2 linked regions of the Lonchura striata genome follow. The protein of the gene in region 1 purifies or fractionates together with the protein of each later gene. This does not show direct contact. Links are inferred from orthologs where the notes say so. Each region holds a gene or a part of one and is shown in the gene's direction. Other genes may lie near its edges. The genes, in order: CASP2 and PIDD1.

Evidence for each region.
Region 2: the proteins of CASP2 (region 1) and PIDD1 purify together in Homo sapiens (affinity purification with western blotting; 5 studies listed by BioGRID and IntAct, with this or other methods). This does not show direct contact. The link is inferred for Lonchura striata from reciprocal best matches to the Homo sapiens genes CASP2 and PIDD1.

Annotation. Positions count from the first base shown.
Region 1 is NC_134604.1:30,172,670-30,182,678, reverse strand, and holds the start of CASP2 (caspase-2), read left to right. Parts: upstream 1-6,295; 5' UTR 6,296-6,305; coding exon 6,306-6,455; intron 6,456-10,009. Other genes in the region: TMEM139 (transmembrane protein 139), read left to right, coding at 1,470-1,717, 3,015-3,483. UniProt on the Homo sapiens protein: Is a regulator of the cascade of caspases responsible for apoptosis execution. Might function by either activating some proteins required for cell death or inactivating proteins necessary for cell survival.
Region 2 is NC_134608.1:44,801,385-44,810,714, reverse strand, and holds the start of PIDD1 (p53-induced death domain-containing protein 1), read left to right. Parts: upstream 1-5,047; 5' UTR 5,048-5,094; coding exon 5,095-5,368; intron 5,369-7,102; coding exon 7,103-7,516; intron 7,517-8,065; coding exon 8,066-8,269; intron 8,270-9,122; coding exon 9,123-9,177; intron 9,178-9,330. UniProt on the Homo sapiens protein: Component of the DNA damage/stress response pathway that functions downstream of p53/TP53 and can either promote cell survival or apoptosis.

The DNA of each region.
Region 1 (10,009 bases):
AAAACCCAGATTTTTCAGGACAGTTTCTCTCGTTGAGGCGAAGCAGACCAAAGAGATACGACACGGGTGAGCACTCCCACTGCTCACTCCGCCCTCTTTCCTAATGAGTTTCCTGCTTTTGTGGGACAGACCGAGAAGAGCTGCAAAAGTGTAGAAGGTGTGTGGTCGTCTAGAAACTGCTTTGGATTCAGAACCTGGAAAGCAGAGGTTCTACTTTCCCATCCAAAATTTGTACAATGGGATCTTCCCATCAGTTGCTACCTTCCCATATTCACTAGTTTCTGACTTTTATTTTCCCAAGAAATCTTCATTGTTTCCCTACCAAAAATCTCGAAAGGAGGAAGGGAGAGTTTTACCTGGTGTTCTATCCTCGGGTCAGCAGTGCGTATTTTTCCTTGTGATGAAGAGAGAAAATAAAACATGACTGCTCGTACCTACCGAAACCTCTTTCTGGTAAGTAGATGCTAAAACAAATGTGTTTCTTTTTCTTCTATGCATTTAACTACTTTTGCTGTAATAAGGGAAAGCACACAATGTAACATGGAGCTATATAAAAGTGTTTATTTTTTGGAGAAGAATATTAGTAAAAAATATGCCCATTGTGTCATATTTTTTTCCTTCAAAGAGGTCTTCACCAAAACAGTGGGATGGATGTAGGTTAGTGTAATTTGTGCAAGACAGCTCCTTAATTATGATATTCTTGAATACCACAGATCCCAGGTATTCAGTCTGTATTGACTGCACACAGTGACAAGTGCTGTCTCTTTCACACAAATGGGGTTTGGAATGGGAGACAGGAAAGACTCTCATGTCTGAGAACAGAGTAAAAAAAGAAAGCACATCAACAGAGAAGGAACTGTGAATACAGACAACTGCTGAGATAAATGCCTACATTTTACAAAAGCACACATACCCTAGCTACATCCAGAACTGAAAGTTACCTTACTGCTCTAGTGCTACACTGAAGTAAGATGCTGAATTTACCAGGGCAGACAGGCCTATTAAATAATACTGCTTTTATTCTGGGATTTCAACGAATATTTGAATGTTGATTAGACAAGGTACAAATGTCCTAGAATTAACCCTTGTAGTTATTCCGTGTCTTGCTTTTGCAGTAAGCTCAATCTGTATTCTTGTTAAGCTAAGCCTTTTTAGATATGTCTGGTAATAAGTGCTGATGGTCCATTTATGCATTTTATGTTTTGCAACTGTGTCCAAGTATTCCAACTATTTAATATGCACACACACAGGAAATTCAAATATGTTTACATTGGTGTGCACAGATTTCCCAGGCTTATGATGTACATACACTTACTCGTGTGTCTATATTTTTACTTTGATCATAATACTTAGAAATGTGTTTATATGCTCACATTTCACATTGAAAAAACTGTTCCATCTTCCACAGATGTCTGTCCCTTTAAGTGCCCATCTGTTCTCAAGTGCCTGTTACCACCATCCCTTCTACCATGTGGTTAGAGACACGATGGAAGAACATCCGCCAAACCTTGCTGCTTCTGTTCACCTCTGCTCTTCTCATCGGGGTCACCATGCTGGCCATCTCCTCTAACATCAACCCAGTAGGCTACTTCTTCCTCGGGGTAGGGGGAGTGTGCCTGGTAGGCTATTTGCTGAGTGTGTTTGTGGAGTGTTACCTGAGGAATCAACATCGGCATGATGCAAATGAAATACCTCCAAACAGGCAAAGCCAAGCAGGGTAAGCAGCAACCTGGTTACTCCCCTTTAACTCTCTCACCTCACTCATGGCCATTTTAAGCACTCTTTTGCTGTTCTTCCCCTGAGGCACCAAACACAAACTCTATTTCCAAAGACAAAAGTTCTTTTCAGATTTTTTTCCCTCATTACTGATATGGAGGTTGCAAATGTCAACGCCATGCATGTCCTGTGCCTTTTATAATATGAATTTTCTTCTCCCTAGGAACTGATCCGCTAAAACTTTACAATGTTAAACCTATCCAGGCCCATTTTATTTTTCTTTGAGTAATCGAGGCTTGCCAAACAATGAGTCAGACAAGGAAAAAGAAAAAATGTTGAAGCAATACCAAATCTTATTTGGGTTTAACTCTATAAACCTTATCTTTAGAGCAACAGTTTCTTGGCAAACTTTAAGAGAAACCTGTAACTGGGTGTGTTTCTACTCTTAAAATTCCTGTTTGACACTAACAAAACCCCTGAGTTTTAGAGACTCTTGATTACTACCACCTCTTCTTGGCTTCATGTTCATTTGCAGATTCTTAGCATCAACCTAATTTAACCCCAGTTTTCCTACTGTCATTGAAGATCTTAACTCTATATGTAGCCTTGCTTCCTTGCATAATCCAGATAATCATTATCCACGTGCATAAATGACTTGACATTCCCAAATAAAATATTTCTTTTTAGAAAGACTATATAAAAAAGAAGTCTATACTGGGCCCTGCTAGTTTGGGGGCATACTTAAAGAAAACTAATATCCTTTTATTTAAAAATACAACCTGAAAAGGAAAATGTCTCCAAAGTAACATTTTTTTCTTTGCAAATAGTTCTTTTAAACAAAGAATGAGTAGCCCTTGTTTAAACTAAATGAAACTACTTAATTTTCTCCACTTCTTAAAAATGGATGGACATTTAGCTAATATATTTAAAGAATATGTCCTGATTTAGGTTCTTTATTCTATGAGACAACTAGTAGTTAGCAATCCTTAGTGATAAATTTCAACTCTAGGCGGACACCAGGTTAAGCCTAGGACACTGAACTGAACAGTGTGGGTAGCTTCACTAACTCTGAGGAGTGAGGGAAAATGGTCAGATGAGCTACCTTCTACACCAGTAAGAAAGACGTTCAGTTGGCTGGAGAGATGAGCTGATCCAGGGCAGAATATCCTGCACAGCAATTCCATTGTCTCAGTCCCATTTGTTGATTGTAGCATGGTCCCTATTGTCCATGATCCGTACTGTAAACATAAATTATGCAGTAAAATAATGAACGTGTCTGGCATTGCTCTCTGGCACAGGGTGAATGCTGCCTACGAAGCACCCACCTATGAGGAGGTGATGACCATGTCAGCTCCAGCCATATGGACAATTACATCCAACCCAGGCTCTGTGCCCTCGCCGCTGAGCGAGCCTCCCCCGTACAACGTCGTTATTGAATCCTCTGCCCAGCAAGACATGATGGTGGAGGCTCTCCGGGGACCAGTGCCACCAGACACAGTGCACACCTCTGAGACAGACACGGGCTTCAGGACACAGCTGCAGCTGGTGCTGCCTCCAAGACTGCAGCGGTTTGTTTCGGACATCCATGAGAACAAAAATGTTGAAGAAAGGTTTGAACCACTGGAGCCACTCACTCCACCACCTGCTTACGAGACTGCCATCAGTGATGAGGTCTTTGCAGATGCTCACCAGCCCTCTGCATTAGGACTGATTTCACCTTCGATGAACACAGAACCAAACCCCCACCTCAATACAGGATGTTCCTAGAGGGATGGTAAAACAGCAGATAATGTTTTGCTTAAATGTTTGTCTCACAACTCTTTCAACCAGAATTGAACTACAGACACAGCTTCTGCTACAGAATCTTTTTGCACAAAACAGAAATCAATGCAATGCCACACTGCTTTGACTTGGCAGATACACAAAACCACTGTGAGGAAAGTAAACCTCTGAAGAAGGACTGTAGGATGCAGCCAGAAGAATCTGCCTGGAAAAGTGGAGGAATAGAAATAACATTAAGCACATTCTGCCTGTGCATTGCAAACAGCAATATTGCTGAGTGCAGTGTGACTTCAGCCACCCTGAAATCCCTACAGAGAGAACAAGCCTGTGCTTCTTACCTTGCTGTTTTGCAGCAACACAAATTTATGGTCTGAGCTGTTTCTGTCCGTCTGCCACACCTGCTCCACATCCTCAACTGGGCTACATAAAAGTGTGACTGAGGGGAGAGTATCTGACTGCATCTGGAAGCTGGTACCACCTGATTCCTGTCACTTAGGGTTGAAAAGCTGATAGTATGCATCAAATGACTTCTGTTGTTCACAATGTTGTCATCCCACACAGCCAGTGGTGGACAAGAGGGAGATAAGTTTTTCCCCTGCAAGAAAGGCCAGCAATGGGATATATACACATGTAAGCATTCTCTGCTTGGACTTCATGGCTCTACAGCAGGGTTTATGTCTGCTGTATTACAGATGTACTCTAACAGATGGCATGAGACACTTTACTGTCATCATGCACAGAAAGGCCAAAGCTCCTCCAGTTCTCTGTGGGCTCTGAAGAGGTCCAGTCTGTCTGCCAAGGCAGTGGAGTGCCAGAGGACAACACTCCCAAGACATATTTGGCCTTCATCATGATGGTTCTGGGCTGTAGGCGTGTTCTAGCTATCACTGATCTCACTGATGCAGTGCCTTTTTAAATGGGTGAGCTAAACTGATCAGCTCTGCAGTGTCAAAGTGGTCTGCAGTATGCAAAAAGATGCATTTGCATCTAGTGAATGTCCAAATTAAAAAATAAAAATGCTGGAATGAATCTCCTGTGAAGAGAGCAGCAATCATCCCAGACTTGCTCATGACTGCATCTTTAATTCATATGAGGAACCATCAAACCATAGGCTAGAAGCAAATAAATTATTTCTTATTGTTTGATTCTCTATAGTTCAAGGGAGAAAAAAAATAAACCTTTTATGTTGTTTATAAATAAATAGGACTGCATTAAAAATTCCGGGTGGCATCATTAATTTTTCCTCTCAAAGGAAACACTCCACAAAGCCATGCTTTTGCTTGCATTCTGCTTATTTAATAATCTTGACTTAGAAAAGAGAGGATTTTCATTTCTGAATCAGCAGCTGAATCACTTTATTATCATTATTGATGAAGCAATTATGATACCTCAATCATGGAAGCATTAGGAGAGACAAACTTGCTGATCAAGGAAATGTGATTTCTTTAATGTCAATCACTACTTGCATTTCCCTCCTGTATCTGCTCATAGAAAAGAAAAACACCTCACCAAAAGGTGTCACCGGTATGTGACACAGGCACAGAAACTTTGAGTCTTAAATTGTGCAACTCAGGACTTGTCTGAGTACATCAAATTGCCAGGAGTCAGGAAGAAATTCAGGTGGCCAGCACAGACTAAAAACTAGCCAAAACAAAGACCAAAAATGTTACCCGTTATGATCAGTACAATTTTGTCTTCAATATTTCTAAAGGTTGGACTTATGTTAAGCTTTAGCAGATAGAATTCCTGTGCACCCGGACACATGAAATCAGTGTGCTAAAGAGTTATGTGCAGAAGCCATCTGAAGCTTTATATTACTTTTTTTGTTGTTGGGTTTTTTTTTGTTTGTTTTTTTTTGTTTGTTTGGTTGGTTGGTTTTTTGTTTGTTTGTTTGTTTTTTGGTTTTTTTTGTAAGTTGTATGAGGAGCAGCTGTGGGAGCTGGGGTTGTTTAGCTTGGAGAAAAGGAGGCTCAGGGGAGCCCTGAAGGAGGCTGCAGCCAGGTGGGGTTTGGTCTCTTCTCCCAGACAACCAGCAAAAGGGCCAGGGAAATTGGCCTCAAGCTCTGCCAGGGGAGGTTCAGGCTGGACACCAGGAGGAATTTCTTCTCAGAAGGGTTGTCAAGCATTGGAATGGGCTGCCCAGGGAGGTGACGGAGCCACCGTCCCTGGAGGTGTTTAAGGAAAGGCTGGACATGGCACTCAGTGCCATGGTCTAGTTGCCATGGTGCTGTTCGGTCAAAAGTTGGACTTGGTGGTCTCAGAGGTCTTTTCCAACTGATTTTTCCAATTTATTCTGTAACGACAGCTGAGAATTTGCTTTCGCTAGGGTGCTCGCTTGACCTTCCCTTTGTATTTCCCTTCGTGTTTCTCCGCACCATTCCTCCCTCCCTGTTAGTTACAGCACGTTGTCATTTCTGATTGCAGCTGATCGCCGCAGAAACCCTTCTCAGCAGAGGCAGAGAAACTAAAATAGGTTAAAAATATAAGATCAAAAAAACAACCCGGAGGCGCTGGGCTTCCCAGGAAAGCCGCAGCCCCGGCCCCGCAGCCCTGAGGGGGCGCGCGCAGCCCGCGCAGGAAGAGGCGGGAAAGCGCTCCCGCCGCGGCGGCGGTGACGTGCGGGCGGGAAGCGCGTCCCGCCGTTTGAATCGCGGGGGCCGCCGGGAGAAGGCGGGACGCGCGCTCTTTCCGCCCGCGCGTCGTCAGGCGGCGGCCGCGGCCCGCGGGGTCCCGCCGGCGCGGTCGGCCGGGGGCACGGCCGGCTCCTTGCCGCGGCGCCCGCCCGCGGTGCCCCCGCTCCTCCCAGGATGCTGGCGGCGTGCGGCATGCAGCGGTGCCACCAGGAAGCGCTCAAGAAGAACCGGGTGATGCTGGCCAAGCAGCTGGTGTTGAATGTGCTGGTGGAGCACATGGTAGAGAAAGATATCATCACCACGGAGATGGTGGAAATGATACAGGTACGCGGGTTGCCGCCTGCGCCGTGAGCTTGGTTTCTGGCTGAGCTCGGTGTCGTTCCTTGCGGTGGCGGCATGGAAAAAACTCACTTGTTACCTGCACGTTTCGGTGTGATCGCACTCAGAGGAGCTGCAGGGGTTTGGTTGCAGAGTGCAGAACTGTCAGGTGCTTTTGTAGGAAGGAAAAGTGCGTTTTTTCTAAGATTCCCTGTGTTCTCTTGTGCAGTTGCAGCAGGCTGCACTTAGTGGATCGGGTGGTAGCTTCCAGTCCTTTATTGCAGTTGCATGCTTATCTTATTTCTTCCACGTGTAGAAGCAGGAATAATATGTATTTCCAAAATAATACTCTGAAAATAAGTAAATGTATATGTTACGTGCCGGTTTGTTGTGGCACCTTCCACATAAAGAACAGGTGTTTCCTATATGTTTTTGTAAATTGCGTGAAGTGCATTTCAAGGCTCACTGTCAAATAACAAATGCTGTTTGTTTGTAGGGTTGTTAGTTTCCCTGTGCAGTGGGTACTGTGGAGAGAAGTCATTGGAAATAGCTTGGGATTTCTCCCAGAGGGATGCTAATGCATAGAACACTGTGCAGGATGAACATAAAGGTCTTCAGAGAAAGCAGGCTGGAAAGAAAGTGGTTGAAAGTGCACAAGTGCATGCCAGGGCTCAAGTAAGGAACTGAAGGAGTTTTTAGTCCCCTAGCAAAGTTCATGGTCCCATAATAAAGAACGTAGGCTGAAAAATAGGATTATGAACTGGTTTTTTGGGCATGAGTGTAGAAAATGCAAACCTGAGACTGATAAGGTTTTGATAGCAGTGAAAAGATAACTTCCTGATTAATTTTTGAGTCATGGTCAAAGATGATGTGAATCACTTTGCATACTTTGACGCAATGTCAAAGATAATGTTAGATGCCTCATAGGGCCTGTTAAGGATATCAGTGCTGGATTGTGGGAGCTCCAGGCAATCTCACCTGAAATAGCTCCCATCCCTAGTGGAAGAGAACAAAGATACCATGAAACACTGCAAGCCAGAGAATGAATCAAGGATTTTTCTGGGTTCGGGCTGGAGCAGTTAATTTCTTCATAGTAGGGGTATGGGGGTGTGTTTTGGATTTGTGCTGGAAACAGTGTTGTTAATGTTTTAGTTATTGTTGAGCAGTGCTGATCCAGAGCCAAGGCTTTTTCTTCTCACCCCACCAGCAATGCTGGAGGTGCACAAGAAATTGGGAGGGGCCACATCCGAGACAGCTGACCCCAACTGACCCAAGGGATATCCCACTCCATTTGGTGTCATGGTCAGCATGTAAAGGTAGGGGAAACTGAGTGACAGAGCATGGTACTAATCATGCCAGGGTCTTGGGTTTAATCTGTGTAGGGGCCATTCACTTAAGAGCTGGACTCAGTAGTCCTTGTGGGTCCCTTCCCACTCAGAATATTCTGTGAGTCTGAGTCACCACTGTGAGTGCTGGAGCCCTGCTGTCCTTGGAATGGCTGTACTCCTGGCCGCCAACAGGAAGTAGTGGATTAATTATTTGTTTTTCTTTGTTCTGTGGCTTTTGCTTTGCCTATTAAGCCATCTTTATCTCAGCTTTTCTCACTTTTATTCTTTGGATGCTCCCCACCATTCCACTGGGGAGGAGGTAATTGAGTGTCTGGTGCTTAGCAGCCCACAGGGGTTAAGCAGCAGCATTGCTGAAGTGTGAATGGTGAGTAGGGGTGGGCTTTTGATGGCCTGCACTTTGTCACCTAATAGGAAGCCGGGAGAAGGGAAGAAAAGGCAAAAAAAAGATCCTCTCAAACTTATGGTAGTGATAGAGAAAGTACTCTTTTTGGCAAGGTGCTGTTGTAGGGGAAAATTATTAAACTGAGACAGAAGGGAAGAAGTCTAAAGGAATCTTCCCCTCTAGATGTAATTGAGTAAAAGGGAATGCAACAATACTTAGTAGTGGGTTATCAGTAAGGAGAGAGGTGTTATGATGGATATGTCAGGTAAAGAGTAATAGCTCAGTGGAAAAATTATGCCTAATACAATAAACACACCTAATAAGTGCTTAAATGTGTATAAATAGCAGTAGCAGGCTGAGCAAGAGAACAGAATGACTTGAACTACTGTTTCAGGGCATTGATCTGGAAATTGCAACAAAAATAGAAATATGGCAGAGTTGGAAGGAAAGCTGGATCTGCAGATTATGCATTGTACTGGAAGGATAAAAATGAAGGGACTTTTTACTGAATAGTCCTAGACAGTGGTATGGAGAAAAAGTAAAATGTGTTTTAAAAAAAAATCACTTGAATGGAAAACACTGTCTTACCTTTTGATCTTCCTGTGGTAGGTCTGTAAATTTTTAATATTCTTCCTGTCTCTGGCTAATGTGAGGACAGGTCTTAGGAGTGCTGTTAAGTAGCCTGTTATTGAAAATGTATTGTGATGATGATTGCCAGGTACTTTAATGGAAACAGGAGGAGCCAAATGCCATTGTCTGATGAAAGAGAATATATTCTCCTGTATATATATGGATATTATAACTGACTGGTTCTATATATATCCTCCTGCACCCCCAATAAGTCAGAAAATAAAGATCTGGATACATAGTTATGTTTTAATCATCTTTTCTTAAAAACACAACGGTTACACTGGTCCTGTTGGCTTAATTTAAGGTAAACAAAAGAAGAAAATGGAAAATTTTCTGGAAATAGAAAATTCTGGAAATAGAGTGTTTAAGTAAATTTCTGTAATCTAAGGAAAGTGAAATAAGTCAAGGAGCTCAGGGAGATGAGCCATGACATTTTTTCCAAGTATGAGTTGTCAAACCAGTACTGAAACTTTACCCCAAGTAAGAAAAAGATGGGAGGGGGAGTGTGTTCCAGGAAGAGCCACTGAAGGCAAAGGTGGTTGAACTGGATGAGGAGCTCATAAGGAATATGAAGAGTAAGTAGAGAGTTTATAGGTGTACAACATTGGAGAAGAATCAGTAAGTAGAAGCTGCTTCCTTTGATGTCTGAAATGTGGGGAGATAGTAGGATCTGACAGCATTGAATTTAAATTAGGTCATTCAGAAAGATATTAAATCATGGGAGTTTTTTTCCACAATATATACTTTCAATAAAGTGTAAAGAAAAAAAGTGTGTTTACTTTGTAGTGAAAATGATGTTATAATTATCTAGGTGAAAACAAGAAGAGGGGGGTTTCAAACACGGGGGCAATTATTTTGGAAATAAAATGGGACAGTGGAAACAGCTGTTCTTAAGGCAAGCTCCAACATCTATTTGCATAAATGCCTTCTTGTCAGAGCATCAGATATTCTTCCAGAGCTCTGGGCTGCACTTTTAAAATTGCACATATGGTAGCAAGAGCTTTCTTGCTTTTTAAACAAATTGAGTACTCTGTACTGTAATCAAAGACTGAGATTATATATATACAGAAATTTAAATACTCTCTTGATACTAGATAGTAATGAAAGGATCACTGTTTTTGACAAGTGAGAAAAATTTGATTAGAATGTTTGTCAATTTTATATGCTTTTTCTATGGATTCTGCAGGTGTATAATAAGA
Region 2 (9,330 bases), on another chromosome or scaffold:
GCTCCGCACTGTGCCAGCACGGGGCCGGCACGCGGCGGCCCGCACCCCTCTCCCGAAGAGAGAGCGAAGCGGCAGCGCGGCATCGTCCCTCCGGTGTCCGCTCAGCCCGGCCCGGCCCGTCCCGGGCGCAGGCCGGGAGAGCACATGGCCGCCGTTCTCCCATCCTACCCACCACCCCCCCCCCCCCCCCGCCACGAATGATCCGGCCCGAGCCCCGCGCGGCGGCGGCGGCCGGCGCGGGGCCGGACGGCACCACTGCCGCGGAGGGGGGCGCGGCGCGCGCTCACCTGGGCGGCGGCGGCGGCGCGGGACGGCGGCCTGGGACGTGCGCGCGCGAGGGCAGGCGGAGGCGAAAGGAAGGGGCGGGGCCTCGGCAACGCCTTCTTCCCGCCACCCCTCAACAACGAGCGCTGCCATTGGGCCGCACCGGCGGGCAGCGCGCAGGCCAATGGGGAACCGCGGGTGCGGCCGCCGCCAGCGCGGCCGGCGGCGCATGCGCAGAGCGTGGGGTGCCCGCTGTGTGCTGCTGCGCGGCCTTGTTGTGTGTGCTGGGATGGGTGTGGTTCCCCAAAATCACGGAGTCACAGAGTGAATGAGACTGGAAAACACCGCTGCGACCATCCAGGCCAACCTCTTACCGAATACCACTCTGTCAGCTAGAACATGGCACTGAGTGCCACATTCAATCTTTCCTTAGACACCTCCAGCACCACCAGTCCCGGGCAGCCTGTTCCAAAGCCTGACCACTCTTTCTGTGGAGAAATTACTGCTGATGTTCAACCTAAACCTCTCCTGGCACAGCTTAATACTGTCCTCCAATTCTGGAATCCTGGCCTGGCCTGGCAGGATCAGCACAATCCCCTCTCTTTGTCCCATCAGTTGGGTTCTGCCTCCATGTGCACATCAGGCACATTCACACACAGTCTTCATATTTGCTTATTTTGTATCAGTGCAGAGATGGGCAGTGGGTGATGAATCCAGAAAGTCAGTGCCTGGCTCTGCATTTCTTCATGGAAAGGGTGGTCAGGCATTGGAAAAAGCTCCCCAGGGAGGTGGTGGAGCCATTGTCCCAGAGGTGTTCTGGGAACAGCTGGATGTACTAGTTAGCTTTGGTCTAGTTGGTCAGTGGTGGAACTTAATGATCTTGGAGTGGCCGGCAGGATTAGGGAAGTGAGCATCCCTCTGTACTTGGCACAAGTGAGGCCACCCCTCGAGCCCTGTGTCCAGTTCTGAGCCCCTCACTTCAATACAGACATTGAGGTGCTGGAATGTGTCTGGAGAAGGGCAATGGAGCTGGCAAAGGGTCTGGAGCACAAGTCTTGTGAGGAGCAGCTGAGGGAGTTGGGGGTGTTTAGCCTGGAAAAAGTGGGCTCAGGGGTGACCTTAGCACTTTGTACAGCCACCTGAAAGGAGGTTGTAGAAAGGCAGGGTTTAACCTCTTCTCCCAGGCAATTAGCAACAGGAAAAGACCTCAAACTGTGTCAGGAAAGGTTCAGCTTATATATTCAGAAGAATGTCTTCACACAAAGGGTGATTAGACATTGGAATAGACTGCCCAGGGCAATGGTGGAATCATCTTCCCTAGAGGTGTTTAAGGAAAGACTGGACGTGGTACTCAGTGCCATGGTCTAGTTGTCATGGGTTGGACTGAATGACCTTGGAGGTCTTTTCCAATCTGAGTAGCTTTGTGGTTCTGTGAAATACCTCAGCTCCATGTGTGGATCGGCTTCTTGCACACTGGGTGACAGAACCCGCTTGTGGGACAGCAGGGCTCTGTGCAGGAGGGACAGGGCTGCTGTCCTGTGCTGGGAGGCTGGGAGGTGGTAATCCATGGCAAGGTCTCGCCATAGGATTATGGGAGTCACCACCTGTGCTTGTTCACTTGATTTCCTGCACTGAGGAAATTAATAGAAGTAAAAAGTTAACACTGCGCTGAAAGCCATTGGACCCAAACAAACCAGGAGTGCTGGTTCAGCAGCAGAGCTGTGTGTGGGCTGTGGCTGTCCCTGCCTTGCTGCCCTGGAGGTGCCCCAGAGATCCTCAGTGTTGGGGCTTCTGTGCTAGTTCAGGTGCTCTCAGAAAACAACCAGGCTCAGAGTGCTACAACTCAGCCAGAGCCTGGAGTAGTCAGTGGTTACTGTCTACTATGTGTAGGAAGAGGAATTTCCCTCAGCCACGTGCAGCTTGCATCCAGAGTCCCAGAATGAATTCAGTTGGGAAGGTCTTCTGAGACCTTCAAGTCCAACCTGTGACCAAACACCACCTTGTCAACTAGACCATGGCACTGAGTGCCACATCCAGTCCTTCCTTAAACGCTTCCAGAGATGGTGACTAGATCAGTTCCCCGGGCATGTCGTTCTAATGCCTGAGCACCCTTTCTATGAAGAAATTCTTCCTGATGTCCAGCCTGAACCTGGACATCAGCTGGAGAGCATGTCCTCCTGTCCTGTCGCTTGTTTCTTGGGAGAAGAGGCTGAACCCCACCTGGCTACAAACCTCCTTTCAGGGCAGCCCCAGCCCTGCGCACTCTTAGGCTCGCAGCCCCTGCTCCATTTCTCTCCCTGGAATGAGCACAACCCCCGGCGGTGCCCGTGCCTCCCTCTCCCTTGGAGCCTAGGGGAGCCAGACGGGACGGGCTGCGGTGCCGGGACCGTGGCCGTGTCGGGAAATCTCCTTTCGTGCCCTTGCTGTGGCAGCAGGAAGGGCACGGCTCCCCATAGCAGCCGGCCGATGTCCCGCTGCCTCCAGCGCCTCCCCCGCGCCGTCCCGCCCCGGATCGCGGCGCGGCTCCCAAGAACTTTTCAGGAAGTGGCGGGCAGAGCCCGGCGCAGCCCAGCCCCGGCGGGCCGGGGCCGCTGCGGAGGGGTGAGAGCGGCGGGGCCGTGCTCGGCCGGGCACGGGGCGCGCCTGCGGCTGCTGCCGGGACCTGGGCAGCGGCGTGGGGTGACGGGCCAGGGGCACAGCGTGCTGCGGACAGCCCGGCCCGGCTGTGCGTGTCCGTGTGCGGGGTGTGTGTCCGTGTCTGTGTGCGGGGTGTGTGTGTCCATGCGGGGGGCTGTGTGTGTCCATGTGCGGGGTGCGTGTCCGTGTGCGGGGCTGTGTGTGTCCGTGTGCAGGGCTGTGTGTGTCTATGTGCGGGGTGTGTGTGTCCGTGTGCGGGTGTGTGTGTCCGTGTGCGGAGTGTGTGTCTATGTGCGGGGTGTGCGTGTCCATGCGCGGGGCTGTGTGTGTCCATATGCAGGGTGTGCGTGTCCGTGTGCGGGGTGCGTGTCCGTGTGCGGAGTGTGTGTCTGTGTTCGGGCTGTGTGTGTCCACGCGCGGGGCTGTGTGTGTCCATGTGCAGGGTGCGTGTCCGTGTGCGGGGTGTGTGTCCATGTGCAGGGTGCGTGTCCGTGTGCGGGGTGCATGTCCGTGTGCGGGGTGCGTGTCCGTGTGCGGAGTGTGTGTCTGTGTTCGGGCTGTGTGTGTCCACGCGCGGGGCTGTGTGTGTCCATGTGCAGGGTGCGTGTCCGTGTGCGGGGTGTGTGTCCATGTGCAGGGTGCGTGTCCGTGTGCGGGGTGCATGTCCGTGTGCGGGGTGTGTGTGTGTGTCTATGTGCGGGGTGTGTGTGTCTGTGTGCGGGGTGTGTGTGTCCGTATGCGGGGTGTGTGTGTCCGTATGCGGGCTGTGTGTGTATGTGCGGGCTGTGTGTCCGTGTGCGGGGTGCGTGTCTGTGTGCGGTGTGTGTGTGTCCATATGCGTGGTGTGTGTGTCCGTGTGTGGGGTGTGTGTCCGTGTGCAGGCTGTGTGTCTGTGTGCGGGTGTGTGTCCACGTGCAGGGCTGTGTGTCCATGTGAAGATGTGTGTTTCAGAGTGTCTGCAGCACCATGTCTACCCATGTCTGTTGCCCCTGAGGCCGCCTCTGTGGCTTCTGGAGATGCCCTCTGGTTCCTTCACCACTGACAGTTTTACAAAGCTATAGCTGATGGATTTTATTCTTACATGTGTCTGTAAGGGGGATATGTACATGTTGTGCACAATGTCTTTGTAAGAAGTGCTCACCTTTATACTAAAGCAGTAGTTTCACTTTTATCCCATTGGCACTCAGTTTCTCAAACCAGGTTCAACGAGGACCCAGTACAATTTGTGAGCTGCCTCTGGGCTCTGCTTCCTCTTCTTCTTGCCTTTACATTTCTGTCCTTTCAGAGTGAGGCATTTCTGCTGCTTCAGGGGATGACGCCTCCCCCAGACTGTGTCTTGGGAACATCAGTGCTGCCATGTCCCACAGGCTAACAGTAAAGGTGCTGCTCCTCAGGGTGTTGCTGGGGCATTATCTTCTTTCTGCTGGCCTTGGACTTTAAAGCCAAGTTTGTTCTAATTCTGCATTACTCAAAAGAAACTTCTGTTTACCAGTTTGATCCATGGCAGGGTTAACAAAGAGCTCCTGATATTCACACTGTGAGCTAGTTTAATTGCCCAGCTCAGGAGGTGTTACTCCTGCACCACCAACATGCCTTTTCTAACCCTCTTGCTGCCCCTATCACATTTTCTCTGCTGCCCTTTGTCCATTTGCTTTTATCCCATTGACACTGGGTTTCACAACCGGGTTTGATGGGGACCTGTCACAGTCTGTCACCTCTGGGCTCTGCTTCTGGCTCAGCTCTCCCTGCCCCAGTTTTCTTCTCTACTTGTAAAGCTTCCTACTAAGGCATCTTGAAATCTACATTAGGCGTAGGCATTTACATTTGTGTCTTTTAAAGTTAATATTGGTCTTTATTCTGATGGTGCATAATTGCTCCATTTCCTGCTGAGATGTTGGCTGGAAAAATTCAGAGGTTTTTCTCTAGGAGGAGAAGCCCCTGTGACATCTGTCATGTTGCATTTCTGTGCTCTTTGCTCCAAAGCTTTCAGTAGCATGCATGTAATCTTTCCTACCATCTTGCTGTGATTATGAACTGTTTCCAGCCACTCTGGACTGGGGCAGGAAGCTTCATTGTGTACCTGTGTTCTTTTTCAGAGCCATCTTTGCTCCTCTCCTTGTCCCAGCTGCCTTGTGGTGCTGCCAGTGCCTGCCTGCCTGGCAAGTCAGAGCATGTCTAGACCCTGTGGATGAGATGCAGAAGATGGCAGAGCTGCTGGGGCTCAGGGATGAGTGTGAGGAGGGGACTGTGGGGGCTCCTGCCCTCGCTGGCTCCTGCCTTGCTGACAACAGACTGAACCTGGATGTTTATCCTGACGGCTGCCGCCGTTTCCTCCAGCTATTCAAGGAGCAACAGGGAGAGGTGGTCCAGGTTGAGTTCCTCCGGCTCAGCAGCAACGATTGCCTCCTTGACACCACACTGGGCAGCCTTCCTCATCTGAAGCACCTGAAATCCCTGGTGCTTAAAGGTAAATTCTGGGGTCCGTCGCCATCCAGCTTTTCTAAGCTCATATTTTTTATCCTTCTCTCCATATCTGCAGGACAAACTGTCCTTGGAAGTGTTTTGTTCCAGTGCCCCTTACCTCAGCTTTGGCTCAGCCTTGCTCAGAGCTGAATGCAGATTTCAACATGATACAGCTTCTGGACTCTTATTTCCTCCCTTTGTTTTTACAGCTGCCTGGGGACTGGGTTTTTGGAGTCTCGTTCAGTTGATGCTGCAGCATTTTCTATAGCCATTCTCTAGAAGAAGAGCATTTTTGCAGTTATGCAAGAAGAGGGATTGAAAGGTGTTGAATCTTTTGGTGAATGTTCAGCCCCTATTTAGTCTTGCTTAGTGTAAGTTTAGCAAAGTTCAAGACAGACCAGAAAATGCTGTTTGACATTTTATGTAAAGTAGGACACAGGGTGTGCATGTAATTTAGAAAAGTGTGATAACTGTTAGAGCTATAAATATTAGATCATTCTTGGACTGTCTCATCAATTTATTGTGGTAGGATCTCAATACAACAAGCATTGTTTCTGTGTCAGACTGAATAATTTGCTCTTTGGGAGGTAGAATTTTAAAAATAAATGAGAAAAAAAAGGGGAGTTTTGGGGCAGAATTCAGGGTTCCAGCTGAAAACTGAAAAGTCTAAGGTTTGCTTCTATATCTGTCATAAATTTTCATGTGAATAATTTGATTTGTGTTTTCCCCCTTTAGTAAGGTGGCAATAACAGCAGTAACCTTTATCAGTCTTGTTTTGTGAGATGTACACACACCCTGAGCATTCTGAAGTGCAATAAAGTAGTTCAGTAAGATCTTATGTACAAAGTGCAATGTGCCTAGTTCAGTAAGCTCTTATGTACAAAGTGCAATGTGCCTATTTGCTTGTTCTCATTTTGTACCATTATGCAGCATAAAAAAATGTTTGGTGCCCTCTGCTGTATATGGATATAAATAGAAAACAGTAGAGAAGGAGTATGAAACAATGAATAAGTGGAACATTTGGAAGTTTCCTTTTGTTTGCTCAAGTTATTTTCCAGGGCTGCAGCCCTTCTCTAACTTGAGTGTCACAAGCTGGGATACGGAACTTTCATTCTTTGCTCTCTGTGTCTGCCTACAAAATACTGAATTACCTACTTCCCCCACACACATTTTCACTGCTTTCCTCCTGTCTGCCTAGAAAATACTGAATTACTTGCTTTTTCCTCCCGCATTTTCCCTGCTCAGACGTGCCCCCCAGTCTTGCAAGGGCAGATACCAGTCCTCAGGGCTGTTTGCTTCTGAACAGCATGGATAAATCATTGAGGGCAAGGACTATTTCCTTGATCCAGAAAGTCTTGTGCGTTGGCCACTGGTAGTGAGGAAGAAGTGAGGAAGGAGAGTGGGAGGCTTGGAGGTATATGGGCCATCCTGCTGAAGTGTGGTAAATGTGTGGGGTGGCGTGGCTCATTCTGAGCTTTCACTCCAGATGTGTTGAACAGAGCTGTACTGGTTCACTGTGGTATCTCCTGGTTTCATAACAGCTCTTCACTGTTACACTCCTTTCACTGATCAGGAAACAGGCACGGAGCAGAAAACTCACTTATCTGAGCACTTTGTGATTAGTGCTGCTCATTGTTATCAGTAACTCCCAATCTTGTGAATCTCTGTGCTGAGTCTCACATGAGGCTGGTGAGCTCTCCTGGTAGCATACTGACCTCTTCCATTTCCCTCCACCCAGGTGGCCTTGCTAGGGATGAGTTTGGTTCCTATCAACATGGCTCCCTGACAAGCTTGCCACCTGACTTTGGGGACCTCAGGTGTCTTACCCACCTGGATCTCAGCTTCAATAGACTCTCCACCTTGCCGAGCTGCATTCTCCACCTCCCCAGCCTCCGTGTGCTCCTGGTGAGCCACAACAGCCTGATGACACTTCCTGAGGACTTTGGCTCTCTGAGTAAACTGACTTTCTTCTCTGCAATGAAAAATCAGCTGAAAGACTTACCTCAGAGCATTGGGGAGCTGTCATTGCTGCAGGATCTGGATCTCTCAGAAAATGCTTTGGAACTGCTCCCTGAAGAAGTTGGGAATCTGCACAACTGTACAGAGCTGGATCTCTCTGGGAATCGCTTATTAAGCATCCCAGAATCCCTAGGTATGTATTTTATTGGGGAAGAGAAGGACGTGGGCTTTGCCAAGCTTTTGGTACAACCTCTGAGACTCTTGGTCTCTACCCCAGAGCTGTTAGCATAAACTATTTTATGTTGGAGCCAAATGGAAGGGGTATGCAGAAGGATACTGCTTGGTTCAGTCAGTGCCTTTGAGCATTAACAACTCTGGATCACACTTCCTGTTTCTGTGAATCATAAACACTGCTGAAATTTCAATACAATTTACAATGACTGAGGATCTGGCCTGGCTGGTTTTGGGTAGCAGAAGAGCTGAGGTTGGTGGGATGAGAATCTGGGCTTGAAATCACACTGTCCAGTGTGGACCAGTCCACAGAACTGGGCCCTGACTTCTGCTGGCCAGCATCCTGGGTCCTGTATTACTTTGTGACTGAGGCTGATTTTGCTGCTGTTAAGCTTTTGTGCTTTTCCCTCATTATGTGTGTGTTGACATGGGCTGAGGAGAGAGGGTTGGAGCTGATATGCAATGCAATTAACAGCACGGATGGGGGGTCATTTCTTGTTCCAACCTGCAGCCAATTTGAAGTCTCTGCGTCGGCTGCATCTCCACAGCAATCTCCTGGTGACAGTCCCTGCCTCTCTTGCCAGCCTGCCCAACTTGTCCAGACTTGATCTGCAGAACAACTCCCTCCGTGCCATCCCTGCTGAGATCCAGGCCCTGCCGTTTGTGCACGTCCGAGGCAATCCCTTGGGAGAAACGGAGCCATCCCCGAAGGCTGGTAATTGCAAGGCTTCTGCTGCTGTGTGTTCTGCCCAGCTGTTCCCTCACTCAGCCCAGCAGGGTGTAGATGGGTTTGGATTAGAGAAGACAAGCAGGGGGGAATCAGTTCAGCAGTTATTTCTCTGGAATAATTATGAAGTTGTAAGGATACAGACAGTATTAGTTATGTCTTTATGAGGCCTATACCAGTCTGAAGGGCTCAGGAGTCCCTGGAATTGGGCTTTCTTGGTAGGGTTTCACAGTGGAAGTAAAAATGGGACTCACAGGAAACATATCAGGAGAGGTCCCTAAAGGGGTCCAGCCTTCTTAGCAGAGGTGAGCACCAGTTCTTGGACTTGCTGCTTGGCCCTAAGGCTGTGGTGGCTTATGCTAGAACCTCAGAGAACAGCAAGAGGTCATTCTGTGCAGTTGCCTCCTGCTTTCCTGAGGTTCACAGGCTGCAGAGGAACAGCTCCTTATCCAAGAGGAAGGTGATGAAATGAGCAGTATTCTGAGCAGGGTCTCCCAATGATGCTCATGTTCACAAGAGCAGGCACTGATTCCCAGGATTGCCCCAGGCAATCAAACATGGCCCTGGGAGCTGCAGAGGAAAACTGAAATATTTTTGAATTCCCTCTGCTTCTGAGTTTCCCTGGGGGAGAGCGAGCATTTTCAGTATGTCCTGGAACCTCGAAGCCACATGCCATCCTCTTGCTGCTGTGTGTTCTGGGGCCCACTGCAGTGTGACCATGGTTCCATTAGCGACTTCTGTCAGATTAGGATTAAGCCAAAACTGTTCAACCTTTCTTTGTCTACCTTGGTTTAAGTAACCTCTGTCTCCTTCTCCTACCCAAATCTTCTTATTGCCACAGATAAATCCAGTACCAGAAGGCTAAAAAGACTCTTCCTTGCATCAGGAGAGGGCAGGTAAGCCTCTGCTATTAAGAATTTATATTACAGACAAGGTGCATGGTGGGTATTGCAGGAATGTATAGGAGCCTATAGCCTCAGTAGGCTGGTGAAACACAAGTATGAGATTCTTCTATTGATTTTTGGAGAGCAGAAGTCACTGCACAATGT